Mus musculus: one gene and its partners. The protein of the gene in region 4 purifies or fractionates together with the protein of the main gene of each other region. This does not show direct contact. Links are inferred from orthologs where the notes say so. Each region holds a gene or a part of one and is shown on either strand. Other genes may lie near its edges.

Region 1 (3,500 bases), on a different chromosome or scaffold from region 4:
GCCAACACCTGCTCTGCAGGAAACATCGGGAGAGGTGCTTGGTGCCAGTCTGTAAGTGGACAGCCTGAGACTCGATGGGAGATGCTCACAGCTCAAGGCTGGTGTCCCCATACCAGGCACAAACTAGACACTTGCCTCTCTCCCAGGCTGTGTACCCCTCAGTCTGCCAAGAAACCGCCAACTCTCACATTCTGCAAACTGAACGGGTCTGTTTTACTATGAGCAATTCTCAGGTTTTCAGCTATACATTTTTAAAGTGTGTTTATGTATTGGCTGAAGGCCTTATTGGTTAAGCGTACTTGTTCTTGCAGAGGACCTGGTTATGTTTCCAACACCCACATGGTACCTTACAACAGTCCATAACTCCACTTCCAGGGGATCCAATGCCCTCTTCCCACCTCCAAGGGCACCAGACATGTACACAGTACACAGACAAACATGTAAGCAAAACATAAAAAAAATCCCCCAAAAGAAGTGTTTTATTAAAACCTTACAAAGAAGCATGTGTTTAGAATGTGGTGATATACATATACTACAAGATAATTAAAGGTTTAATTTACTTATGAAGAGTAAAGCAAAATGGAAGAGTTATAGAAAAAAAGGCTACATAAAAAAAAACTAGATATATGTGTGAACAAAGAAACTAAATAATGTGAAACTAAAAAGCAGCAAGGATGTATAGCTTCTCCTTTCTCCTTCCTGAACTTTCCTGTAGGCATGGTGCTGATGCTGATGTAGACAAAGGAAGTCATGCTAACTGAAGAGGGAACAAACACAGACCTACCTACTTCTTATGCTATAACCACTGGTCTCCACTCCTTCCCTTCCATCACTGTGAAGTGTTACTCACCTGATTTCCTCTCCCGAGTATCAGAGTAGAGGCCTTTAACATCTTGCCTGGGAACACCTAGCCTACTATGTACATCTGAAGAGGGCTCTCTCCGAACCACCTGGTTACTACTAAAAGCCTTCTCTGGAGAATACGGTCTTTTTCCTAACCGCTGGCGAATATCTGCCAAAAGAGAAAAAGTATACCTGTTACCAAGCATACGTGTTTTACCTCAGTACCAATGAACTAGGCTTTTGTCTTAGCCATGGCTGCCACTGCTGTGACAAAATACCACGATCAAAAGCAACCTGGGGAGGAAAGGTTTATTTCACTCACTCTCTATATAACAACTCATCAAAAGCAGTGAGGGCAGAAGCTCACAGAGCAGGAACCTGGAGGCAGGAGCTGATGCACAGCCACAGAGGAGTGCCGCTTACTGGCTTGCTTCTCGAATTTGCTCAGCCCGCTTCCTTATTCCTGGACCAACAGTGCAGGGGAGGTACTGCCCACAGTGTCTGAGCCCTCCCTCCCACAGTAATCGGCAATCAGGAAAATGCACCATAGGCTTCTCTACAAACTAATCCGGCAGGGGCATTTTCTCAGTTAAGGTTCCCTCCTCCATAACTCTTAAGCTGATTAAAAAAAAAAAAAGTCTGGCCAGCCACCAGATGGTGATGGTAAATGTCTTTAATCCCAGACCTCAAGAGGCAGAGGCACCAACCAAACAAACTAATCAGTACAGCTCTCTAGAGACCTGATCCCAAATCTCCCATAGTGAAGGCACAGCACCCAGCATCAGAAGGCTTCTAGAAGCCGGTTGGTTCTGTTCATAACTGGTCTTGCTTCTCTTAAGAAAACTTAAAACTTGGATGTAGGGGCTACCAGCTGAGTGCCTGAAGCAGTCTTCTTCTTTTTCTTCTTTTTTTCTTTTTTGCCAGAATCAAGCAAAACTAAGTAACACATCACATTTTCCAGCTAACAATACTGCAAGCCACAATCCTTGAAAACACAAGTAGTTCTCAATAAACTTACTACATTTAACCAACAAGTGTAATGAGACTGGCAACAGGCCAAGGATAAAGGAGCTGTGTCCTAAATTAAGTGTGCTCTCTTCCAAGTCCGTCACAGAGCCGCTGGGCCTGAGGTTTCCCCTAACACGCAGCAGCGACAGCAGCCACATGTTCATCAGCCTTGAGCCTACTCTTGACTTCTCAAGTAAACTCCTCACAAGAGCTCAGGCTGAGCCTCTTCAGTTGCTTCTCTTCCATCCTCCTCCTTCCCAGGGTTCCATTCTCACCCCTTCTGACGTCATTGTCCCTAAAAAGTTTAGCCCTTTTTACTTTGTCTTCTATGCCCACTATATTCTAATCCTTCAAAATCACCTCTTAAAATAAGAATCATATTATTTCCTCCCTCCAAAGATAGTTTGTCAGCTGTGTCCTAGTCCTCCCAAGACTACACTCTAAAGCTGCTTTCTTCAAAAACCGGCTCGAATCGTCTCAGCAGCTCTGTGGCAGCTGTTGCAGCCTCCCCAAAGACTTGCACATGCCAGCCCTAGCCATAAGCACACGCTTATATTGCTTCATTAGGGTTTGCTCACATATACACTCTAGTTCACACTCAACCATGTTTCTAACCACCCAACTTTATTGGTTTGGGGTATAAAATATCCCAGGGAAGTAATATTACTTATTTATTATTATTTAGTATTTATTTATTATTTCAAACAAAAAATACTGAAAAGTAGTTTTGTTGCAAAATCCGACTTTATTTATTTTCTCATGGACGCCTAACTAAAGATGTAGGTACAAGAAGAGGAACAGTTAATTGAGTTCAGAAGAACCTACCCTGGGCCCATCTGCTCTCAGGTGCTCACAAGCATCAGGATTAACTCTGAGGGGAAAGTATAGTGGCAGTTAGAAGCCAATGAATACCACAAAGTCACCCTGCACAACAAATCTCTCACCATACATTTATTGGGAAGGATACAGGAGGGTGGCTACCTCTGCTTGAGAGCAAAGAACTGAGCAGGACCCAGACTTTATATAGGTTTCCTTGGTGGTAGTGGTGGGATACTTTCCAGGGTGGCCTGGGATTTGTGGGATTTTGCTGCCAGATCTTGGACTTTTTCTTTCCTCTACAGGGCAGAGAGCTTGGCCACTTGCATACTGAGGGGCTGGAAACGTTAGAGTAATCTGGGATGGAACCAAGCCACTCAAGGGGCTTACAAAAAGGGAGTCAGGAGCACAAAAGAGGGAAGAACAATACCTGGTTTAGTACTGCTGACTGCTGGCCGTGGACAGGAATGCTGCCTCTTTTCATCTAAGAGATGACGGACATCTGCAAATTTCTCAGGAGGCAATTTGTTACCAATTCGGTTTTTTATATTGCTTGTGGATATACTATCTGCCCTCATGGGATTCCTTTAAGGGGGGGAAAAAGCAGAGAGATCATAAGTAACCAACTTCAACTGCGAGGAAAGATGCAAAAAAGTCTCCTACTTCAGAAAAACTCAGTTTAAGATGACCGTCACTGACTTACAACTACCACTGTAATAGCTCACTACGATCAACATGCTATGAAAAGATGGTGACCATTAACTAGACTGCAGACTTAGACAGGGTGGTTTCCACATGATGCCTGTACACTTTATCATAGAACACATAACTGA
Region 2 (4,214 bases), on a different chromosome or scaffold from region 4:
GGGAGGGAGGAGAGTGACAGACACCTGGCTGAGGCTAAGAAAACAGAAATGACAGGCCCTAATTTTCCAATGAAATATAAAGTAAGGGTATTTGCCACAAAAGGAGGAATTAAAGGGCTAATGATAGAGTCTTGTAAAATAGTCATAAAAGAATTTAGGCTTCCAGGAAGCAGGAATTGGCAAAAAGCTGTAATATTGACAGAAGTTAACACGAGACTGAATCTTCTAACTTCCGATTTTCTTTTCTTAGAGTCTAAAATCAGTAGCCAAGAAAAGAGTTGATGAATATCATTCAAGACAAAGACAGCCACATGCAGTTCTGAACTAAATACCTGCAATGCAGGTGGCTTAGGAGGCGGGGACAAGAAGAACAGGAGTTCAAGGCCAGCCTGAACTGCAAGAGACTATCTGAAACAGCCAAAAACAACAAAAAAACCCAAAAACAAAAACAAAAAAAAAAAAAAAGAGAGAGAGAAGAGGGGGCTAATATGGCTCAGAAGTTAAAACACTTGCCACATTAATATAAAGACCAGTACTCAGATCACCAGCATCCATCCACATTCACACCTGTGGGCTGGTGGCATGCCTACAATCCCAGCACTTGGGAGACAGAGACAGGATCCCAGGAGCACCCTGACTATCTAGACTAGCTGAGTCACCAAACTCTGGGTTAAGGTGAAAGATCCTGTCAGATATAAGGTGGTGGTGGTGGTGAAGTGGGGTGGTCAAGGAAGACACCTGACATCAACATCTGGCCTCCACATGCATGCACGTGCACACAGACAAGTACACGCATTCACACCCACACCCACACCCACACACACAACCAGAAAACCTAAAGAGGGCAAAAAGCTGCCTCTGTGGATTTGAGACTGTCAAATGGCGACTGGTAAGGAGGCTAAAGCGAAGGGGAATACCTGAAAGGAAATGTGTCACAGATGAAGTCCAGGTTGTAGTAATCCTGAGGTGTAGCTGAAAATACAAAGGTACGTCAATGATCTCGTGCTCAGGAACGAGGGGGTTCAGAGCATTCCCAAGCTGCTACAGACAGAATAACAAAAATAAAAACAAAAGGGCTAGAGAGTTGGCTCAGAGGTTAAGAGTGGCTACTGCAGTGGACCGAGGACTTGGGGGTCTGATTCCCAGCACCGACATAGTGGCCTACAGCTCAAACTCCAGCCTCAGATCTAATAGCTCTTCTGACTTCTGTGGTCTCCAACCACACAAATGACGCACAGACATACACACAGGCAAAACATTCACACACACAAAATAAGTCTTTTAAAAAAACAAACAAAAAAACATAATCTGTGGGCAGTAGATAGGAACACTGCCGTTTTGCTAAAATTGCATTTGAAAAGCAGAGAGGCAAAAGAACAGCTTATTTTCCTCTTCTACAGAGCCACAAAGAACAGAAACTATCTCTATAGCAGGGCAGGGGCCAGATGGAATATAAAAAGAATAAGAAGGTACACATTAAAAGCTGCAAACTGCCTGTCATGGTATTAGACGCCTTTAATCCCACAACTTGGGAAGCAGAGGTAAGTGGATCTCTATGAGTTCAAGGCCAGCCTGGTCTACACAGTGAGCTCTAGGCCAGCCAGGGCCACATAGTGAGATCACATCTGGGGATTGGAGTGTTAAAGATGAAAGTTGCTTTTTAAAGGTTGGGCACAGTGGCTCATGCTTTTAATTTTAATAAGGAACATTTAAAGCAAACCAAGAAGCATAAATGGCACATTTTAAAACACACCGTGCATTACCGCACAATCACAGGATCACTTCTACAAAACCCTAGTCACATATGAAGACCAAGATGAAGGCTACAAAAACAGTCACCGGGTACTTGCACTACGTCTTCCAAATATCTATTTGATCATCTCGAAGTCAATATTGCACATTATCCTAAAGACAAGGCAACTACAAACAAGACAAAAACATAAAACCGATTCTCAGCTTCACACACAAACAGCTGACTTCCAACATTTCAGACAGCTCGACTGAAGTGCTACTCAACCTTTAAGAAATCATGGGGTTCTATCAATTATCAAAGACGTTGAGAGAAAGGCCAGTAGATACTTTCCTGTTTGTTTTCTCCCACTTTAAATGGAAAACTCCACCAAGGAGAAAAGTCAAGTTGAAAGTTAAATTCCTCTTCCCTTCACACGTCTGGATTTCAGTGACACCCACCCCCACCCCCACCCAATGAAGATGGGGCAAAGAGTGAAGAAGAAAGCACTATGTAGCAATGAGATCATCAGCAGACACAGCCCGGAGAGAAAGAATGAAAACAGGGAAGGGTAGAGAGCAGGTACAACAGTAAGAAATGGGGGAGGGAGAAAGGGGGTTGGAATTGGAGGGAACTGAGCACAGGAGCCCATAATGCTGGAGAACCTTGCAAAGGTACGGGACTCCAACAGCTAGAAAGAGCTGAAGCGCCTAAGGGTCCCGGAGCAGGGGACATTGGAGGACCCCAGGGTTTGGGAGACCGGAAGCAGAGACCCCCCCCAAAAAACACGAGACCAGAAGGGGGCGCAGGTAACAACCCAAAAGGAATGAATGGGGAAGGCGGTACGGGGGCGTGGCAAAGGAGGAGCCCCGGGATGGGCGTGGCACAAACCCTTTTCCAAGTCCGAACCCCTAACCCAAGAATCCCGGGAGAGGCGGCTCCGCGATCCCCGCACTCACCGCCGGTCTCGTCAGTTACATAGGGAGTCGCCATCTTGAGAACCCGAACCACTTCCGGCGTGAGCGGGCTGGGGTCCCGCCCCCCTCCCCGCCGGAAGTGGAGTCCTCATCCTAGCAAGCCACCATTTTAATCTTAAAGAGAGACTGCACCATTTCTCTGACGCGGGAGGCGGAAAAGGCGAGTGTAAGACGCTCACAGTCATGGGCTCTTAGACTACCACCGACGCCACTGTTGACCTCCTGATGTATATAAAACAATCCCTAGGGCTCGGAGAGAAGTTTGGGCATAAGCCTTATCCCAGACAGTCCTCGCAGGCTCAAGGCCCACCGGGACCCAGCAGGAAAGCTGGTAAAAGAGGAAAGGAATATGCAAGGCCCCTCGCCTGCACCAAACCCTAGGGCGCGTGTTGGCATGGGCAAAGAAGCCCCAGGGATACACGAAAACCCGGGCTAACACTTAAAAGTGGGCAGGTCTACTCGGCACGCCGACCACTCTCGGCCGCCCAGGTTAACTGATCAGAGACCTACGAAGGGGTGCGCAAAGATCGGCGCACTGCGAGTCGGTCACCTGTCCCCGTGGCCTCGGGGGTGCTGGCGGTTTCCATGACTGAACTGGGGCGGGCAGCCCTGGGGATTCAGCGGCCGGCGAGGTAACTTCTTGGCCTGCTGCTCAGTACTGGATCCTCTCGGGTCAGAGGGCACGGGGTGAAGGCTTTTGGGGCGGACCCAGTCAGTATTCTAATTAGCCGCGCCCCACACTTCGGATTAGCTTTGGCTACCGCGAGCAGTTCCACCCTTAAATCTACCGGGACAGTGAGGCCACTCCCTTTGTTAGGTTGTGCCTTGTTCTTGGAAGGAGCGCCAAAGCCCGGTCCGGTCCCTCCCCTCCTCCATCAGCAATTTAGTTCCTCTGGGGCTAAATCCTGTTAAACTTGTTTCCTCTTCTGTCAGGAAGGTGCTGGCTCAAGCTCCTCTCCTCAGGTGTCTGCCCTCCTCCTACAAAGCTTTTTCCTTAACTCTTTCACCCTCTTCTATTGCCCAACTTTGGCTTACACTAACGTCCAACAGTGCCTCTCAAATTGAGAAGTGGGGAAATATTAGTACTTCAGTAGTAGACAATATGTTCTACTTTAAAACAAAACAACCGAGCAGTGGTGGCGCACGCCTTTAATCCCAGTGGAGGCAGAGGGAGGAGGATTTCTGAGTTCGAGGCCAGTCTGGTCTACAGAGTGAGTTCCAGGACAGCCAGGACTACACAGAGAAACCCTGTCTCGAAAAACCAAAAAAAAAAAAAAAAAAAAAAACCAAAAGGAAAAAAAAAAAAAAAAAAAAGAAACAAAACAGGCTAATAAGAACCTCAACTAAGTTTTCAAAAGCTCACACATTGTCCTCCTTGCAATTCTCCCAGCTTTAACCTCTCTCCTTTCAATTCAAGTCTCAAAATGACTTTAATGCTATTTGCATGCACTACATGTTTTTACACGTGTATACTTCTTTCTTTTCTTTTCTTTTTTTTTTTTTTTTCG
Region 3 (3,996 bases), on a different chromosome or scaffold from region 4:
AGGGTGGAACTTCCCATAGTCCAGTAGCAGGAAGATGTGTTATCACTGATGCCAAAGGGACAATATTATGATTGGTGCAAACACAAGTCTTCATTTGCACGAGTTTGCTGTTTGCTGTGTTTGGTGCAAACACCCTTTGCTGGCTGTAAAGCAGAAAGTTTGGCTCACTTGGGTCAGCTGGGACAAACCTTACTATGCTACCCTCCACAATGTCACATTAGGTCCAGTAACAGGAAGACAGTGGCTAAGAGCCCGCCAACTAGGTCACTAGGAGAGTTCCTGGAAACGCTTCAAAGCTAAAGGCCCAGGTACCGCACTTTCTGGAGCTACAGTTCGTAATAAGTTACCAGGGCCGAGGAATTCCCACTCCTCTCTGATTTATACAAAACCCGCCGGCCTGCTGCTTAGGGCTGCCAAATGCGGAGGGATCAAAAGCTACCAAGCCCCAGCCCAGAGAGCTTATGCGTTGAGCAGGACACAGCCAGCTGGTTGGCAACACTGATACTTAGTGTTACTTTGTATTAATATTAAGTGTCCTTAATAGGGAAAGCCCGAGCTTGTGTTTATGTAGCAAGGCAACAGGACAACACTTCTGCTATATGTAACATCTCAAAGGGAATACCACATGGGGGGAGGGGGATGTCCAGGCTGAATAATGGAACTGAGATTATTCTGCTGCTCTAGTTAGCAAGAATTATGGAAAGGTGCATAACCTCAAACCCCACCATTTATTTAGCACCTAGACAGAATGTAAGCCTCCATCTTTCGATATAATTTTGGGTAAATCCTGCCTATTCTCTGCACGACTGTAATGGGCGTGGTCACGTGTCCCCCTCCCCTCCAGCAGAGGCCCGAGTTAGCCGCTCTCGGGTCACCTTGACTACGAGGCTAAGGACCCCGTGAGAAACGCTTCTCATTCGATCGCGGAGTCCTCCATGCCCACAGAGAGGTGCCCAGGGAGAAGCCTGGCGTGGCAAACAAAACTAAAGTAGAGCCGACCGTCGGAGGGTGTTGCATAAGCGTAGAAGAACAAAATGGAGAGCTCTGCGGGGGAAGACGTGAGTTTCCTGTCGCGCTCTTGCTACTGGCGACCGGAGGAGGCGTCGTCTGAAGCTTCATTTCAAGTGGGCGTTCTGCAAAGCCAGCCGCGGAGCGCGCGCGGCGAAAGCCTGCTTCCGGCTCCTTGCGCGTGCGCCCTGGCGGCCGGGAAGGCGGGAGGCCGGGGCGAGCCTGGAACCGGAAGTGAAGGCAGCTTCCCGCCTCCGTCCCCGTTGCTGCCGCCATACACGCTCGCAGTGCTTAGGTAAGCTTTGGCCCTGTGCACCATCCACCGCCATCTGCTTCTCCCGCGGCTCGCCCCGCCGCGCGGGTCCCTGATACCCGGTGCCGGGCCGGCGCCGTGGCCGCCGGCGCGCAGGCGGGCGTCCAGTTCTGTTGTCTTCACCCCTTTCTGAGAGCAGATCTTGGCGGGGAGCTGGGAGACAAGGGGGGAACGATCCAAAATGGTGGCCTCGGCCGCCATTGTGTCTCCGCGCTTCCTGGGTGTTCCAGTGGGTCCTCTGCCCACCCGGGGCCGCGGCGGCCGGAGGCGGCGCCAGGAGGAGGGCGGGGCCCCTCGCATCTCCCCTCCGGGCCTTTTCTTGCTCGCCCAGGGATGGGAAGATCTCGCTCCGGGGCCCGTCCAGCCCTTTGACCCCGCTTTCGCTGCCTTATTTGGAGCTCTCTGTGAATGGCTGCCTCTGTGCGTGGCCGATGGTGTCGCGCACTTCTGGGGAAGCTTTTCCGAGAGCACTGCAAGGCGTTCCTTTCTAAGGCCACCCGGCTCACACTCTTAATCCTGCATCGTTCTCAGCTGTGACCTTAATTCCTTAGTGCGACTTTTAAAATTAACTTTGGCAGCGCTGAGCCGAACCTTGCGGCCTCTCGCGTTACTAAGCAAGCACTGCCATTGAACTGCACACACCCATCTTTTTCAAAACAAAAAAATTTTTTTTTTCTTGAAATGGAGCCATTCATACACTTCCCACCCTCCGCCCCGCACCACCCTCCTTCCTGCTTCTGTTCCCCGGTCCAGGTGTGCGCCGCTGGGACGGCCACTCGGGGGTTTCTGAGCAAGAGAATAGCGGCAGCCACATGATGTTTGCATTTGGGAAGTGAGCGCTCTGCGCAGTGCTGACCCTTATCTATCACCCTTGACTGATGGCTGACGTTGGGGATCACCACCGTGAGGTGGCAGGAGAAAGCGCAGTCTCTGTCTTCCCTTGTCCTTTGTGTCTCAACCCTCGTGTGAGTCGTTAGTCACGCTCATTTTACTGCGGTCTCCCAGTTGGCTCCTGCCTGTCGAAGTGTGTGTTACAAAGTCTGGTTAGCGGTGGAGCCCACTCTGTCTCTCCCGTCTGGTGTTCCCGTTTCTTATGTCATGAGTCTCTTTGTTAACTCTTCTTTCGGGACAAAGGTTTCACAGTTTAGGGAAGAATAGGACGGGTGTAGGGATCGACGAGAAGTGACGAGTCCATTCGTGACTGATGAGTTTTTCCGGTTTTTTTGTTGTCCCCTCTCCCAGCTCTTCTGTCGGAAACTGGTGTCTTTCCCCTTGCTGTTCTTCAACCCCTCTCTTTGGCCCTTGCTTCCTCACCTGCTCTGGGACACCTAACTCAAGAGACCTCCCTTCTCCCCCTGCCGGCCCAATTATGGCAGAGAACGATGTGGACAATGAGCTCTTGGACTACGAAGACGACGAGGTGGAGACAGCCGCTGGGGCAGATGGGACCGAGGCTCCCGCCAAGAAAGACGTCAAGGGCTCCTACGTCTCCATCCACAGCTCCGGCTTCCGAGATTTTCTACTCAAGCCAGAGCTGCTCCGGGCCATCGTTGACTGTGGCTTTGAGCATCCATCAGAGGGTACATTTTATTGTTGGGTGTAGAGACCTTATTTAGCACCTCTGGTGCAAGAAAAGGGAGGTTCAAGTCTAGGGTCATAGGATTTGAATTTATTTGGGATAGGCCAAGCTCTGAGAATGTACCCAAGACGGCAGCTGTAGAAGAGGCTTTTGTTCTCCGTTAAACAGAGGGCTGCCATTTGTTCTGTGCCTGGCTTTTTTGCTTGGTTTTTGTCTTTCTGACTGTTCGGACTCCCAGAGAGGGCCTGGTTGGACCTTTAGTTCCCTTCTTTTGGGCCAGGCCAAGTGTCGTTTCCGGAAACCTTAACGATCAGGATGCTGGCTTCTGTGGCTTCTGGGTCAGGTACCAAGTCCTTCATTTTGTTCAAGGTTGCAGGGTTACATGACCCAAAAGCACAGCAACCTATGTAGGAGAAATGGCCTGTGGCAGTCGAATTCATAGATTGTTGCGGTGTAAGAAAAGTAAGTTTAGCCAGGAACGTGGAAGGTGAGCTGTTGGTAGCTTCACGAGGGTTCTTTCTTAGCGGAACTGGGGAGCTGGGGTAGGAGGGTTTGACTTGAGTGTAAGAGTGATGAGGGTCAGGGAAAGGATGGGGTCTGAAAGGTGACAAGGTGACATATGATGAGTCGGCTGGGGAGAAAGGGGTTTGGCACGGTGCAAAAATGTCTCTCCTTTCTCCTCCTAGTCCAGCATGAGTGCATCCCGCAGGCCATTCTGGGGATGGATGTCCTGTGCCAGGCCAAGTCAGGCATGGGAAAAACAGCAGTGTTTGTCCTGGCCACACTGCAGCAGCTGGAGCCCGTTACTGGGCAGGTATGTTGGGGGCAGTGCTGGAGAGGGTGTGGAGATTGAATCACCAGGAGGCCGTTTCTGGCTCCATGTGTTCTCAGCTGGTGTCCTCTGCAGTTCAAGGGGAATGTTCGCCAACATCACTGACAAGTTGCTGGATGCTCTTGTGACGAGGGGCTGACTTTACTGTGTCTGTCTCCATTTGCTCCCTCAAAGGTGTCTGTGCTGGTGATGTGTCACACTAGGGAGCTGGCTTTTCAGATCAGCAAGGAATATGAGCGCTTCTCTAAGTACATGCCGAATGTC
Region 4 (3,953 bases):
CACGCCTTTAATCCTAGCACCTGGGAGGCACAGGGGAGACAGTCAGGGCTACACAGAGAAACCCTGTCTCAGAAAAATTAAAAAAAAAAACAAAACCCCCCCCCAAAAAAAAAAACAACCAAAACCCTATGATAAAGGGATAGCAATGTCTTTTTTTCTTGAGACAGGATCTCTCTGTGCAGCCCTGGCTATCCTAAAACTCTCCTGTAGACCAGGTTGGCCTTAAACCAAAAGATCCACCTGCTTCCCAAGTGCTGGGATTAAAGGTGTGCATATTGTTACATAGTACCCAAGCTGGGTTTTTTTTCTTAAAAAAAAAAATTATTTATATGAGTATGTTGTAGCTATCTTCAGAGGGCATGGGATCCCATGGTGAGCCACCATGTGGGTGCTGGGAATTGAACTCAGGACCTCTGGAAGGACAGTCAGTGCCCTTAACTACTGAGCCATCTCTCCAGCCCATCAAGCTGGGTTTCTTTTACATTGTAAGAACTAATAAACTTCACAGTTCAGCACCATATTCAACATAGAGTAGGCTAAGCATCACAAAGCCCCTGAAGTTCAAGGCCAGCTGCACAGGCTCTGACAGAGAAGCAAGAGACACTAATATAACATCTGCTCACAAGAGTTATGCAAAATACATTCCTTAATTCCACAAGAAAAATCTCATTATCCCTACCCTTATCTTCTAAGACAAAGAAATGCTGAACAGTCTCCATGAGCCTTTCTAGAAACTTAGAATGCCACGCCAGACAGAAGGATCTTCACAATCATTCACAATGCCCCACTGTAGTTGTTCAGTTTCCAGAACAGTAAAGTAATAAACATAGAAAACAAAATGGAACATTTATTTTTTTCTAAAACTCAAAAGCAATGCCAAGTAGATAGGGTAAGAAATTAAATATAAACACAAGGTCCGCCCTAGCCCTGTTTATCCAAGGCAGCATAACCAAATGGACTTGTAGAGAGACCACCCAGTCGACAGAGGATTTATCAACGGCGTCTCCGGTCTGGACTCCTGCTTCGTCTTCGGCCTCCTCTAAGAAAATGAAAAAACAGAAGGGGAATATCAGAGATCTAATACTGAATCCTTATTTATCTTGCTCATGTTCCCTTTACTAAGATAAATAAATGTACAACCCCCATCCCTTCATCTTACCTCCTCTTGCCCTTTGGTGGTCCACGAACAAAACACCAGTCCACACTGATTGGCTGCCCCATCAAATCTTGACCATTTAGTCCTTCCATGGCAGCCTGAGCCTCTTTGTATGTTTCATATTCAACTAGAGTATACCCCTAGGGGAGCATATAAAAGTATCAAAGCTTAGCCAGGCGTCACACACACACTTTTAATTCCAGCATTAGAGAGGCAGAGTCCAGCCTAGTCTACAAAGTGAGCCCAGGACAGCTAGGGCTCTGTTATACAGAGAAACCCTGTCTCAAGACAAACAAACAAACAACAAAAAGTATCAGAATTTTACTTCACCAACCAAGTACTCTTTTCCTTAAACCAGAAATGCATAGTTACAAGAAAAATTTCGCAGCTATACACCACATATCCCCATTATATACACAAACATGCTCATTCTGTTTCTGTCTCTTTCATGTGGGTAACAAAATCAATTTCCAATGTCATTTCACTTCCTACCTGTGCTTGATCAACTCACAAAAACAACATAATCAATGTATCTAAGAGTTGTAAGTGAGGGAAGCAAGAAAATCTACCTTCAAGTATCCCGTGCGCCTGTCCAAATTAAGGTGAATATTTTTTATTTCCCCATATTCAGCGAATTTGTCATGGATATCTTCTTCAGTGGCTTCTTCGTGGACTCCAGTGACAAAGAGAATCCAACCTTCAACAGCTGTTGGGTAGGGAAAGTGTTGTATGAACATGTAAGCTAAAAAGCCCAGTATTCAGGAGGCAGAGGCAGGCAGATTTGTGAGTTTGAGGCCAACCTGGTCTACAAAAAGAGTTTCAGGACAGCCAGGGCTTAACAGAGAAACCCTGTATCCAAAACAACAACAACAAAAAAACCCAAAACCAAACAAACTAAAAAAGAAAAATTCTGAAAAGAACCTACAATAAGCAATTTTCTGAGACTGGTTAAACAACTCTTTACTTTGCATTTGAGTGCCAGTGCACACAGACTCCCCATAGGTCCTATTTACTTACAGCGCTGTGGTCCAGGTTCATCGCCGTCCTGCTCCACACTGTCGTAATCCTCCCGCATCCGCGCTCGGGACCCCTCTTCTAAAAGAATTCATACCAGATCACCGAAAACTGTCCTCCAAATGTGTCCCCCTCACACTCCCAAATTCGCGGGCTTCTGCCTCTTAGACCACTCTACCCTATTCCCCACACTCACCGGAGCCAAAGCCGCGGCCCTTCCGTTTCTTTGCTTTTTCTTTTAGTTTGTGGATGCTTTCTAGAGTTCCAGGTGAGAAAATAAGAAGCAACAAAAATAAGAGTCATTTGAAAAAAAAAACAAAAAAAACCTGTCGCGTTTCCTAGACTATCTGGAAGCTTCGACACAGACTCCAGCTTCAGTCCCTTCCCAGTTCCGCCCCTAATTCCTTTCCCAAGGGGGAGGAGTCTATCTTTTCAGACCCAGTTCGTGGGGTGACGTCCCAGGAAAATTTCTACTGCATTCCCCTCTCGCACCTTCCCCTCTTCCCGCAGTCGCCTCCACTCTCCTCACCGTCCCCATCCTCATCCATGGCGAAATCTTCGCCCCCCGCCTCGTGAAGATCCAGCACGTCCGCCATCTTGCTTCTCTCGGCGCTTTCTGAGTCTCTAGAAGCTAAGCACCTCGGGAAGCTGTCGCAGAAGAAAAACGTCACGAGTTAGGCTGACCAATTAAAGGTTGCCTCCAAGTCCCGCCCTCGGCGCGGTGAAAATTCGCCAATGTAGGCGGCCCCACTATGAAGCGCTAGAAACGTCCAGCACTCTGGGACCCCGATGGAGCTCTGCGAGTATGAGGCCGTAGGCTACATGGTTTGTGATTGTGTTTTGTTTTCTTTTCTTTTGAGGCAGGGTCTCTCTATATAGCCCTAGCTGGGCTCGAAGTTACAGATATCCAACTATATTCCCCTTCCACATGCTGCTGGGATTAAAAGCCTGTGCTACCACGCCGGGCTCCAAGGCTACAGAATGAGACCCTTTCTCAAAAACATAAAAAGTAAAATAAAGTGGTTTCGGAAGTTCTACAGCCAAGTTGATCAGGTAGATTGAAGGTCCGGAGCGCAGCCGCGTTGGGGCAAATTTAAAGGGTGAGTGAAGTCAGTGACTTTCTCATAAAACTTTCAACTAGCAAGAAATCCTTTGATACATATCTACATATATGGGTTTATTGAAATGACTTACGGGCTGCAGTCCAGCTAATTGGAGAATAACTAGATGTGTCCAGAAAGTCGAAGAATCTAGTATTTGCTTAGTTCCACAAGGCTGGATGTCTCAGCTGGTCTAGAATCCAGAAAAAGTAGGCTCCAGTGCCGGTGAAGAAACGGACTTATGAGCAAGGCAAAGTGCAAAAGTTTCCTTCATCCATGTTTTTATATAGGCTTCAGCAAAAGGTGTGGCCCAGGTTAAAGGTGTGCCTGCCCGCTTTAATCCCAGCACTTGGGAGGCAGAGGCAGGCAGCTTTCTGAGTTCGAGGTCAGCCTGGTCTACAGAGTGAGTTCCAGGACAGCCAGGGCTACACAGAGAAACCCTGTCTCCAAAAACAAAAACAAAACAAACAAACAAAAGATTAAAGAAAAGCCTGTGTCTTCCTGCCTCTAGATGTAGCTCAGAGGTGTTCTTTCCTACCTAAAGTCTGGACTAGAAGTGGATCTACCCACTCCACCAAACAGAAAATCACAGGTGTGCCCCTCATTTCTGGATTTGTAGTTCATTCCAGAGAGAGTAAGCCTGACAACTGAGAAGAACCATCTCAGGTGTTTTTGTTTTTGTT
Region 5 (3,500 bases), on a different chromosome or scaffold from region 4:
TCCGATGTATCTAGTTATTCATCTGTTTACTTACCTACCTTAGAGAAATAATAGTTTACATAAACATTTCTAACATAGGAAGTAAATGTATTTATTTGTTAACTCTTTGGTTGTGCTTTTCATATTTTTATTTATTCCATAATTTGTGATTTAGAATAAGTATGAGGTAAATTAAATTCAGTACAAATACAGGGATAATCATACAATTTCTGTAAGGTTTCTAGGTTGCTTATATGTTCCTCAATCATTATTTCCTGTAAAATACAACATAGTAAGTACTGATTAGAAAGGGCAGCTTGTCATCAAGTGCTTAAGATGCTGCCAAGTAAAATATCAATAGTATCTGATTTTACACAACCACAGTTATTACAGTTTACCTCTTGAGAAAAGGATAGTTTGGTATTATAACTTGAGGCATCAGAAATGCATTCACGTAGTAGCTGGGGTTAAAGTAGGAGTATATAATGTTGGGGAATGTCATTTTAACTTTTTTATACTTCTATACATACTGCCTTATCTTACAAGTTTATGAACAAGAAATGAAGAAAGGAGTTTGCAGGTTTGAAGGTCAAAGTCCCTGTTATATGTAAGACTTGCTTAAATTGGAGATGTCTATATTAAATACCTGAGTTTTGCTCCAAAGAATATTAATATCTAAAGTAGAATTTCTTATTTGATGCCTGCTATTCCAGCCTCAGAGAAAAAGAGTCTCTGCGAAATACTTAGGACCAAAGATCAACAAAGGTGTTTTCCAAATTAATTTGACAGAAATATGTGGCAGAGATAGTAAATGTTCATAATTTATTTATATATTTTTTTCAAAAAGTTTTATCTTTGTCAGGCTTATCTTTGTCAGGTGTGGTGGTGCATGCTTTTAGTCTCAGCACTCAGGAGGAAGAGGCAGACAGATCTCTGTGAGTTCCAGGATAACCAGGGCTACACAGAAATATCTTGTCTCCAAAAAAAGGGATTGGGTTCATCCTTAAATACTTTAATAGAACTTTTTCCAAAAAAAAAAAGAAGCAGGTAACATAAACTAAGGCATCAAATCTACTTTTATAAAGTTAAATGTGTCAGCTCTGTTTGTGGTAACCCTAAAATGTGTTTGACATTTTGTTTATACTTTTTTCATGTCTTCTTTTTTTTTTTAACCTATGACAGCAGAATAAAAAAATCTTTAGACTAAACTCAACAACTGGTTCAAAAATTATATAAATAGGAGAAAATATTTGAATTAGAATCATTGCTGTTGTCCATTAATAAAAATTAAAGGTTTCTTGTTCAACCTTTTAACTTAGTTATTATAACTAGGTAATACCACAGTACAACGTACTATTTTAAATTTTTGTTATTAATTTCTTATAGCTAAATTTATTTTTTTATTTATTATCAGCGTTATGTTTGGTGGAAGAAAAGTTTGGAGGTTTGGACAAAAGACCATCCATTTCCTATTGATATAGATTACATGATCAGTGATACACTAGAACTGCTAAGACCAAAGATCAAACTCTGTAATTCTCTGGAAGAATCCATCAGGCAGGTACAAGACTTGGAACGAGAATTCTTAATAAAACTAGGTAAGCAATTTATTACAGAGAGAAAATGAAGGGGATTTGGTCAGATTATCTCTAGAATCTGTTTTCTAATGTTTCCAGTCAGAGTTTTCAGTGTGCATACTTTGTATCTTTGATGTTGAGTACTGCATAGTAGTTTTAGATGTGACCTGGTTGGTTTCACCAAGTGATCTCTAATTGAAATAAACGATCAAGCCGGACTTAAAGCAAGAGATAGTGAAGGAAAAATGCAGTCGTGTCAACTGCTCTCTCTTACTTTTAGACCCTGGTTTCTGAGCAAATGTTTGGATGAAAATGTCTCCTATTTCCAGCTGGTACTATTCCTGAAAACACACAGACTTTGAAGTAGAGAGGGAGTACTTGTTAGAAATGTGGAACAACTACCAATTTTAAGGTCTCATTCATTAGTGGAGTTGGCTCTTTTTCTGGGTCTAGAGAAAATGTGCTGCTAGAGGACTCTATGTACAATGTTCTTTAGCTTTCTGAGGTGCTTCTAGAAGACTTAACCTTTGAATGTCGCCCCTGTGGAATATAGTAGTTTACTAGCTTGGTCAACAGGTAACAAATACAAAGTCTAGTCATACCAACCTAGTCAGTCTGCTTTATTGTAGTATTTTCATAATCATTATCTTCTCAGAGTTATTTCATTTCTCATTAGCACTTGGTGTGTTCATATGTATCCTTACTGTCAGCTACACTTAGAGTATTGCTTTGTTACGTTGCTTGTCTGAAGAACCAGTCTGAAGTGAAGGTATAAGTGACAGTCCCCTCCCTACCCCAGGTATCCAGAATATTGATGATATGCTTGCCACCTCCAGGGTAAATCTGAGTTGGGGACTATGCTTGTGTTTGCCTGATTGTTCCAATCTCTGCACTCAGTGTGCACGTAGTGCTGTGTTCTCTGCTCACTTCACAAAGACCGAGGGTGAATTAGGGCTTTTCAGCCTTGACCCAGGTTACCCAGTTTCTTTTTCTTTTCAGATTTCTAATTGAATAAAGCATTTCACACAAAGCATTATCTCCTTCTTTGTATCTTCTGAAATTGTTAAGATGTACCCTAGGGCCCAGAAATTTTCATAAATGGTACAACTGTGTATAGGGGCATAAGGAAGAAGAAACAAGATTGCTTTGTCTTGTTGTAAATTAAAGGGTTAAAAGACATTGAACTATCTATGAGGAACATGAAGAAAGAAAAACGAGTCACCGTTATGGCTTGAAACTATAAAGATGGTAGCACTTAAAATCAGTCTCCATCCTCCTGGCTTTAGAAGTTAAATAAAAGGAAGGGGCTGTATGCATAGTGTGTGTTCTACGTAACCCTCCTGTTGATGAACCACAGCACCATGCTTTGTTTGCCATTGTCGCAAGCACCTGGGAACTTTTCATTTTAATTTTATAGCATCCAATGCAAGGTGAAGCTAGTGGGAAGTACTAAAATTAACTTTTAATGTCTTAAACCATTTACAGTGTTAACATAGATGATGCTTATGGCAGTAATTCTGAGAAATAGAAAGAAAACCACCTGTAGTGCAGTTAGAAAGACTGGTATGTTAATATGACTTATGATAGTTGTTTTTTAACTTTTCATGTTTTTGCAGTTTTGTAACTGGACTTTTTAAAAGTCTTTGGGGTTTTTGTTTGTTTGTTTGTTTTAAGATTGTATTCTTTTGTTTGACTGTACCATACTTAATTCTGTTGTTTGACTCTTAGGATTTTTTTTCAGGTTTACACCATTTTATTGCTTTTTAAAGTGATTTTCATACCTTTTGGTAGACAGAATATACAGAATATACAGGTTAAGACTTTTTTAAAAGCCAAAATGACTCAGTTTTTGTTTGGAGGTTCCAGCTAATACTGTGAAGAGCAGAAATGAGAGTAAATATATTCTAAAGCCGAAGAGTATATTTCTTAAATTTTAAACAAAGC
Region 6 (4,273 bases), on a different chromosome or scaffold from region 4:
GTCATGACAGCAAGTGAGGAGGTAGGCAGAGCCTACAGAGTGTCTGCCCAACAATAACAGGGCCCCGAGTTTGGTCTGCACTTCAAAGTAGTGAGCCACAAACACAACAGACACAGGACAAGTATACTATGCTATCTATCCAGCACAGGAAGGGCCTGGGACATTTATATCCACAGAGGCCACAGGACTATTGGTGGCTGAAGAGAAGCTGAGGGTGCAGGGACTCGGGATGCTAGGATATTACTTGGTATTAATGATGTTGGCCCAAAAGGCCACTGTGCTGCCAGCTTTCCAGGGATAAATGCAAGCTCCATGACCCTGCTTCAATAAAGCTGGGAGAGGACCTCCATTGGCCAACAGGAGGAGCTCAACCTACTGGGTGGGGGGTCCAGCCTCCTTGGACCCCCTGAACAAAGGCTGTGTGACCCATTTACCTCAAAGGACAAATAAGGAAAATCAATGTTTCTTGGTGGCAGAGGGCCCTGGGTATGCAAGGAAGGAGTTTCTCTCCACTTTCCAATTCTGTTCACTTTCTCCCCACAGATGCAGGTCCTCCGAATACAGGATTGAAGGCGCTCCCTCCCTTCCTTGTGATGAGAGGCCACAGGTGGGTGGCAGCTCATGGCTCAATCTATGATTTCAACTGGCGGAGCAGGGCACACCCATGTGAGCACACGCACAGCCTGAGTCTGCTCTGCACATTAGCTAGAGCTAAAAGACCTTGAGATGAAGCAGGCCACTTCCACTCGTCTCCCCAACTGCGCCATCACAGCCCTTCTCCAGGTCCATGAGGCCCAAAGGAAACAAGGAAGGTCTACCCAGTGGGGAGACTAACAGGAGGACTAGCTTGCAGGGCCACCTCACTCCTCCAGGCAATCTGCCCTCTCCCCACCTCCTTACACTAAAGGTAAACAGCTAGAAACAACAAGCTGGCACACCTGATCCGCATCGCAACAGGAGCTGAGTCAGCCCTCTCCTTCTATTCGGGCTGAAAATGAGCCCAAGTGGGTGGTCTACCCACAGGCATGACTCAACCAGCCAGCTTGAAGGCCCTCCCAGAATGCGGTCTGAGATCACTGCTGAAGACTGGTGGTGGCTCCCTAGCCCTAAGTACAGATGGACTACAAGAACACCTGTGGCTCTAGCCTGCAGCTCCCCCCCCTCCCCGAGAGAATACAGGAAAACAAAGCCAAGAGGTGCCTGACACCAAGCCAGCCATAGAGAGGGAGAGCATTTGATGGGGAGGCAGAGGGGGCCTGGCCCTGGCCCAACCTGAAATGCCTACATCGGCAGCCTATCATTCAAAACAAAAGCCCCTCCCCAAGGCACAGTCACCCATGTGGTACCCATTGTGGGTAAGGAACAAAATTCAAACCCAACTTTTCCAAGCAGAGCCTAGGAGTTACATAACACCGGTTTCAGCAACAGGCAACCCAGAAGGAAAAACAAACCGGCAGTCACCTCTCCATCCACAAAGTGGGCTATTTCCACTTGAGGCGACAAAACCCTGGCTCTGCTCCAGGGAACCCCTAACCCAAACTTGAACTTGAACCCTGGCTGGAGGGGGTGGTGGATGAAGTGGCAAAAGGGTGAGATGGGGTGGTTGGACTAGCCAAACAGGTGACCCTGGAGGGCAATGTGGGTCCGTCCAGAGGATAGCAACTGTGGACAGGTCACCTTAGACATACCTAGGAGGGGAGTGAGGGAAGCTCTGGCTTAAGCCTTGAGCCGAGCAGATCCTGCGCTACAGGAGGGACACTAATGCAGGTCACTGCCCAGCCTAGCAGGGTGGAGGAAAAAAGGACAGGTGGCAAGTAGCTGGGACAAGAGGCTGGGAATCAGAGAAGATGGTAGGTAGCTGGGTGGGCCAGAGCAGCAAGGACTAGGGCAGGTAGCAGGAACCTGAGTCAGGTGGCAATGACTGTGGCAGGTAGACCTGGAAGAGGTAGTTGGAATAGGGTGGAAGCAGAGATCTGGGAAAAGGGCAAGTAACGGGAACCAGATCTGGTAATAAGGTACCAGAGACCTAGGGCAGGTGGCGGGTACCTGGGCAGTTTAAACAAGAATCCAGGGTGGGTAACTGGAGCTGGCCAATAGGGACTTAATGTTTAAGGAGCCAGAGCAGGAAGCAGTTACCCAGGCTTGTTAACTGGACCTGAAGCCGGTAGCTCGGACCAGCGCCGTCTAACTGGGACCTGGCTCAGGTTCACAGGGGCCCAAGGCTGGTTAACTGGGATCTAGCGCCGCAGCTCCCGCGCCCGCCCGGCTTCCGGCGCCGCCATGCGCCGCTCAACTCACTTGTGCGTCGAGCTGGCCGGCCGCGCCGCCTGCGCCCGCTCCGCCCGGGCCTCCCGCGCCGCCGGGGCCGCCGGGGGGCGTCTGCGTCTGGCTGGGAAGGGTGAAGTCGGTGAATTCGAACTCGGAGCCCTGGGTGTCGGCGCCGAGCAGCTCGGCCTCCTCAGTGTCCAAGAAGGTGAGTGTTTGCGAGCTGGGGCCGTACGCCTCCACACTCATCCTGCCGCCCGGGCCGCGCCTTCAGCGGGCGCCTCACCGCACTCGAGCCCGAGGCTTCGGCTAGGCCTAGGCCGTAATCCGGAGTAGCCGCTGCCGCCGCCCTGAGAGCCGGGCGGGCTCCGAGTCGGCCTCCGAAAGCAGAGCCGGGCCGCCGGTTCTGAGCTCTGAGTTGCCGCCGCCGCCGCCGCCGCCGCCGCCGCCGCCGCCGCCGCCGCGCCCCTCCGTAACGCTGCTCGCCTCAAAGCCGACCGCCGCTCTCAGACCCCTGGACAGGAACCGCCGTCGCCGCCACCGCTGCGGTGCGCGTGCGCGAGCCGGACGCCGGCACAGATGCGCGTGCGCGAGTCCGACGCCGGCGCAGGCGCGCGCGTTCCTCCCGGAAAGTAGCCAACCGCACCGGAGCACTGGGAGCTAAGCGGGAGGGCGGAACTCGCCGTGCGCCTGCGCGAAGAGGCGGGCCTTCAACCGCCTAAAGGACCTGGGCTCGCGAACTTGGCCCCGCCCCAACTGCTGCCTAGCGGTGCGCATGCGCGCATGCGACGTCCTCACCTCCGGGCTTCAGGGCTGGATGTTCGTTAGGTGCTGATTGAGGCTCTCTCCAGAAGGTTTTGGGTGTGGAGCCTGTGGCACGGGGACCACGCACCTGCACTCCTTGAACCTTAGTTACCCCGTCTGTCACTTGGCTCGTGGCCATTCTCAGTATTCATCGATTGAATAAATGAGTAGGGAGCGGGGACTCTGCCAAATGGTAGTCACTGCTACCCCGAGCACTCCTGAAGCCTGTGAAGATAAATGCTTCTTTTGTCTTGCGATCAAGTCGCACTGGTCCGAGCTAGCCTGGGAATCGCTGAGAAGGGGTCAGGTCCCCTAGAACTAGTTATGAATGGATGTGAGCTCCTCTTGTAAGCGCTGGGTGCACAACTCTGAGCCATTTCTCCGGCCTGTTTTGGTTTTGATTGAGGGTCTCACACTGTAACCATGGTTGGTTTGGAATTCGGGGGAATCCTCCTGCCTCAAAGTGCCTGGTGGTGGGGTGACAGGTGTACATGCAATGTTGACCACGGAACTAAGGGCTCTTGTGTGCTAGGCAGAAGCTACCAACTGATGAGCATCCACAGCCAGCTGCGAGACTTAGAGAAACACTCCTCCCTGGGTTTCCTTCCCACTCTTCAGTGGAGGAAGTGTAAGTGTTGCAGCTCTGAAGGGAAAGGCATTCCCCCCACAGAAGTGTATCTGCTCTGCTTGGGCAGGGGGAGGGGTGGAGGTGGTTCCCCAAAGTGTTTCAGCTGTGCTCCAAAAGATCCTGGCAATTGGGAGCCAAGAAATAGAACAAAGTCACAGCACACAACAAACCTAACACGAGATTTATTGCGAGGGAAAAACCCAGGAGGGTGGCTGCCTCTGCTTGGGTGGATCTCCCAGTAAGGACACTCCTTAAAATCCAAGCACTCAGGAGTCGAAGGCAGGGAGATCTCTGTAACTCTGAGGCCAGCCTTGTCTACAGAGCGAAGTTCAGGACACCCAACATTACATCATCTCAAAACACACAAAAACAGATGCTGAGTGTAGAGGCGCAGTCTCCCAGGACTCTGGAGATGGAGACAGAGCAAGGATTCAAGGTCATCCTAAGTTGTATAGCAAGTTTGAGGCCAGCCTGAGGTATATTAGAACTTGGCTAAAAAACACAATGAAACAAACAAAAACAGATAAGTAAATGTTCCATCAGGCCAAGGATTAGTTAGCCCAGTTCGCTGCAACC
Region 7 (3,500 bases), on a different chromosome or scaffold from region 4:
AGTTCCTGGAGTCGTACAGCCTGGAGGAGGAGAAGACCAGCGCTAGTCCCGAGACGCTGCTGGGAGAGATAGAAGCCAAGACGAGAGAGCTCCTGGGTCTGTTCTGCTCGTTTGTTTATTGAGATACTTACTGATGGAGTATATGTCCAGTTCTCCTTTTTTCAAGATGAGGGTAAAATTTCTTTCCACTACAGGCTTGATGGAAACAGTATTTTCTACTTTCAACAAAAAAGCGATAGCGCAGGGAAATATTTCCGAGCCTTTCTCAGCGGAGACTCTGCTTCTGGGGTCCTGGCTTAGAATGGCCGTGCTGCCACAGACAGGGGCACGCCCTTGGCTGCTCAGAGAGGACACTTTGTTGCAGCAGAGTGACTGTCTTTGCAGAGCAGCCACAGTGGGCCTTGGGAACCTATAGAGACAAGACATTTGGCTCATATATGAAGCTAGATATCTTCTGAGGAAGCTAACCTGTCAATGCAAGCCCAGCTCGAGTCTAGCATCTGGTTAGAATCCTCATAGAACTTTTTCCTAAAATAGTGTATTTTAGAAATGTTTGTCTCTTCAGAAAACTCACGAGCAGACATGAAACCCCTTAGTTTAGTCTCAGACACCCCTGAATGTCCCATTTCCTGATGGCCTCAGTATTAAACCTCTCCTCTAGGGGCTGAAGAGATGGCTCATAGTTTAAGAGCATTGGTTGATCTTCCAAAGGATCCAGGTTGGATTTCCAACACCCAGATGGCAACATATAGCCATTGCTAACTCCAGTCGCAGGGGATCCAGCGCCCTCTCCTAGCCTTTGTGTATATTACACACGTGATGCACAGACAGGCATGCAGGCCGAATATTCATACACATAACAGAACACACAGCCCTTTTCCCAATGCCTGCCATCCCTTACGTGTCCTGCTCACCTGCCTAGCATCTCACATACAGTTAGTTGGTTTGTTGGTTTCCACATGAATTCCCTTCCCGATTTCCTCCCCCACGTCCACAGTGGATCTATATTTTCCTCTTGTAGTGGCAGAAAAGAGATGTTTAAAATTGAGTATATGGGGAATAAAGAGACCAGAGTCTGGAGCTCTGTAGGAACAGAACGTAAGCTCACGGGATTGGAGAGATGTAAGAAGCCCTGTGCTGAGACCTGACACCTGACTCCGCCCGGGACACACACACACACACACACACACACACACACTCCTCTCATTGCTCTGACCACAGTGCTGGTGAGTGCCAGGGAGAAGCAAGGGTCTGACCGAGAGCTCTGGCTCCGCAGGGAAGGCTGTTGTAATATACTGGGCATGTTTTAGAAGTCAAATATGGACAGAAAGGAGGAGGATGGACTGATTAGTGTGGGGGCTCAGGGGCAGAAAGAACTAAAGACCAGGCTTAAGGTGAGCAAGCGTGTGTTAACTGTGGCTTCCAGGAGTTCCAACTGGACCAGCCTAGGATTAGCTCTGAGACTTGGCACTTCATGGCCTCAGCAAACATCATCACCTTGTTGAGCCTTGTAAACTTTTATGACAGGTAATTAGGAGGGGAGGAGGGATAAGTCAGTGCTACTAAACTTTATCTTGGGGTCCTTTGTTTTCCTAGTCTGATAGCCAAAGTGTCTCTTTAAAATAAATTCATTTCTGCCAGACTGCTTACATCCATGAGCACAGCACCTGCCACGACGCGTGGGCGCCCTGAGCATGCCCACTCTCCCTAAGGCTGAGTCCCGTTTGGTCTCTAGCCAGGTGTCAAAGGTCCTCAGTGCCAACTTGCAGCAATATCCAGGATTCTTCCCAGCCCGTTCACTATGAGGTCTTAAAGGTCTGTCGGGCGGCCCATCCCCACCGTCTCACCGTGTGCTCACATTGGAGGGCTGTGGGGCTGCTCCCTCTGGGGAAACCTGTAGGCCTCTGATACATGTGGGCACCTGACATCCCAAACAGACATGAGAGGTAGGACGTAGGAAAGGTGGCATTCAGGGTAAAATGTGGAAACATACTTCTGATGAGAGAGATGGGTGGTGGATTTTTCTGTTGGTTTGGTTTGGTTTTGAGTCAGCAGTGCCATCTGCAATCATTTCTAAGCTTTAGATTGAATAGCTCTTGCCTGAAATGATTAAGACCAGAAATGTTCTGTTTGGGGCTTTGGAATATTTGTGTGTGTGTGTGTGTGTGTGTGTGTGTGTATAATGCCACACAAGTCTAAATAACAGTTGTGTTTTCTATGTATTTAAACACAGTTAGAAGGCAGGTGTATACCACACGTGCAGTGTGTTTCTGTGCTGACTGACCTATCTCATAAAATTACATCTAGAATTTTCCACTTGTGTTATTACGTCAGTACTCAAAACTTTCCTTGAGGGCATTTCAGACTTTGGACTTTTGAGTTAGGTTGGCGTGCATTAAAGACATTGTAGCATTGGGGCTGGGGAGATGGCACAGTGCTTAGAGGGCTTGTTGATCTGCAGAGGACCTGACCAGTTCCCAGTTCCTAGCTCCTGCACAGCAGCTCACTGCCGTTACTAACTTCAGTTCCAGGGAATCAACAGCCTGTACTGACCACCACAGGCACCAGGCATAAACATACCATACATGCAGATAAAATAAAATAAATCTTAAAAAAAAAACCTCAACAGTGGAAAAGCAAAACGTTCTGAAAATACATGTAGCATCCAAGTCAGTGTGTAAATGTCGCTCTGACTCCTCAGAAGGATAAAAATAAATTAGTAACATCTGAGAAGCTTAAGATCTCACACATACACATGTTTTGCCAAGTATGTGGGCAATGTCTTCTGACCTTTTTTAAGAAAACATGTCATGTGTCTTTTTGTTCACTGTTAAGTTGCCTATGGCTCTGTAAATATCCACATATATGTATTCCTCCCTATAAAGAGCCCTAATTAAACTCACTAGGTCACAAAAACAAAAACAGAAAAGCCCCACAAAGGTAGACGTGAGAGGAAGAGGACTAGTTGGGAAGAGAAAGGTCAGCAGGAGAGAGAGGGCTCATGGGTAGGTCATGGAGTATAAACGTGATCAAAATACATTATACATGTGTATGAAAATGTCATAATGACCCGTTATTATGTATAACTGATATATGCTAATAAAAACTTCAAGAGTGGCGAGAAGTCAGTGTATCAGAATTGCCAGCACCTACAGATTACTTGAATTTGTAACAGAATATGAATGTCCCCAGGTGCGGTGCACACTCACACTTTAGAGATCATATTCTTCCCCTAATTATTTTAATGTTAAGTTGGAAACAAGAACTTAAGAGAAACCTCAGTTTACAAGTTATATGTAATGTATTATAATTTTTTTTTCTTTAGCTAGAAGGACCACCCCTCTTTTGGAATATATTAAAAACAGAAAATTAGAAAAGCAGGTAGGTAACATTTGTACCTGGTGGGCATCCGTCCCGTACCTGTTGTTTCTAACAGGAAACTTACATATGTGTTTGGCTCTACCTTCAGAGACTCCGGGAAGAAAAGCGCGAGGAGCGGA

What was found.
Region 1: the proteins of Rbm8a (region 4) and Ncbp3 purify together in Homo sapiens (co-immunoprecipitation; 3 studies listed by BioGRID and IntAct, with this or other methods). This does not show direct contact. The link is inferred for Mus musculus from reciprocal best matches to the Homo sapiens genes RBM8A and NCBP3.
Region 2: the proteins of Rbm8a (region 4) and Pym1 purify together in Homo sapiens (co-immunoprecipitation; 11 studies listed by BioGRID and IntAct, counting the BioPlex papers as one, with this or other methods). This does not show direct contact. The link is inferred for Mus musculus from reciprocal best matches to the Homo sapiens genes RBM8A and PYM1.
Region 3: the proteins of Rbm8a (region 4) and Ddx39b purify together in Homo sapiens (co-immunoprecipitation; 4 studies listed by BioGRID and IntAct, with this or other methods). This does not show direct contact. The link is inferred for Mus musculus from reciprocal best matches to the Homo sapiens genes RBM8A and DDX39B.
Region 5: the proteins of Rbm8a (region 4) and Upf2 purify together in Homo sapiens (co-immunoprecipitation; 6 studies listed by BioGRID and IntAct, with this or other methods). This does not show direct contact. The link is inferred for Mus musculus from reciprocal best matches to the Homo sapiens genes RBM8A and UPF2.
Region 6: the proteins of Rbm8a (region 4) and Upf1 purify together in Homo sapiens (co-immunoprecipitation; 7 studies listed by BioGRID and IntAct, with this or other methods). This does not show direct contact. The link is inferred for Mus musculus from reciprocal best matches to the Homo sapiens genes RBM8A and UPF1.
Region 7: the proteins of Rbm8a (region 4) and Upf3a purify together in Homo sapiens (co-immunoprecipitation; 4 studies listed by BioGRID and IntAct, with this or other methods). This does not show direct contact. The link is inferred for Mus musculus from reciprocal best matches to the Homo sapiens genes RBM8A and UPF3A.

What each region holds. Positions count from the first base shown.
Region 1 is NC_000077.6:73,075,367-73,078,866, reverse strand, and holds part of Ncbp3 (nuclear cap-binding protein subunit 3), read right to left. Parts: intron 3,253-3,500; coding exon 3,098-3,252; intron 1,013-3,097; coding exon 851-1,012; intron 1-850. UniProt on the Homo sapiens protein: Associates with NCBP1/CBP80 to form an alternative cap-binding complex (CBC) which plays a key role in mRNA export. NCBP3 serves as adapter protein linking the capped RNAs (m7GpppG-capped RNA) to NCBP1/CBP80.
Region 2 is NC_000076.6:128,747,041-128,751,254, reverse strand, and holds the start of Pym1 (partner of Y14 and mago), read right to left. Parts: upstream 2,801-4,214; 5' UTR 2,723-2,800; coding exon 2,689-2,722; coding exon of another isoform or gene 2,621-2,688; intron 2,585-2,620; exon of another isoform or gene 2,465-2,584; coding exon of another isoform or gene 2,395-2,464; intron 973-2,394; coding exon of another isoform or gene 918-972; intron 1-917. UniProt on the Homo sapiens protein: Key regulator of the exon junction complex (EJC), a multiprotein complex that associates immediately upstream of the exon-exon junction on mRNAs and serves as a positional landmark for the intron exon structure of genes and directs post-transcriptional processes in the cytoplasm such as mRNA export, nonsense-mediated mRNA decay (NMD) or translation.
Region 3 is NC_000083.6:35,240,550-35,244,545, forward strand, and holds the start of Ddx39b (spliceosome RNA helicase Ddx39b), read left to right. Parts: upstream 1-1,196; 5' UTR 1,197-1,303; intron 1,304-2,128; exon of another isoform or gene 2,129-2,205; intron 2,206-2,267; exon of another isoform or gene 2,268-2,286; intron 2,287-2,563; 5' UTR 2,564-2,690; coding exon 2,691-2,901; intron 2,902-3,525; exon of another isoform or gene 3,526-3,586; coding exon 3,587-3,714; intron 3,715-3,906; coding exon 3,907-3,996. UniProt on the Homo sapiens protein: Involved in nuclear export of spliced and unspliced mRNA. Component of the TREX complex which is thought to couple mRNA transcription, processing and nuclear export, and specifically associates with spliced mRNA and not with unspliced pre-mRNA.
Region 4 is NC_000069.6:96,628,775-96,632,727, reverse strand, and holds the start of Rbm8a (RNA-binding protein 8A), read right to left. Parts: upstream 2,801-3,953; 5' UTR 2,767-2,800; coding exon 2,700-2,766; intron 2,427-2,699; coding exon 2,367-2,426; intron 2,252-2,366; coding exon 2,174-2,251; intron 1,863-2,173; coding exon 1,726-1,862; intron 1,297-1,725; coding exon 1,160-1,296; intron 1,040-1,159; coding exon 994-1,039; 3' UTR 1-993.
Region 5 is NC_000068.7:6,027,969-6,031,468, forward strand, and holds part of Upf2 (regulator of nonsense transcripts 2), read left to right. Parts: intron 1-1,393; coding exon 1,394-1,577; intron 1,578-3,500. UniProt on the Homo sapiens protein: Involved in nonsense-mediated decay (NMD) of mRNAs containing premature stop codons by associating with the nuclear exon junction complex (EJC).
Region 6 is NC_000074.6:70,350,480-70,354,752, forward strand, and holds the start of Upf1 (regulator of nonsense transcripts 1), read right to left. Parts: upstream 2,801-4,273; 5' UTR 2,515-2,800; coding exon 2,299-2,514; intron 1-2,298. UniProt on the Homo sapiens protein: RNA-dependent helicase required for nonsense-mediated decay (NMD) of aberrant mRNAs containing premature stop codons and modulates the expression level of normal mRNAs.
Region 7 is NC_000074.6:13,792,115-13,795,614, forward strand, and holds part of Upf3a (regulator of nonsense transcripts 3A), read left to right. Parts: coding exon 1-96; intron 97-3,325; coding exon 3,326-3,381; intron 3,382-3,469; coding exon 3,470-3,500. UniProt on the Homo sapiens protein: Involved in nonsense-mediated decay (NMD) of mRNAs containing premature stop codons by associating with the nuclear exon junction complex (EJC) and serving as link between the EJC core and NMD machinery.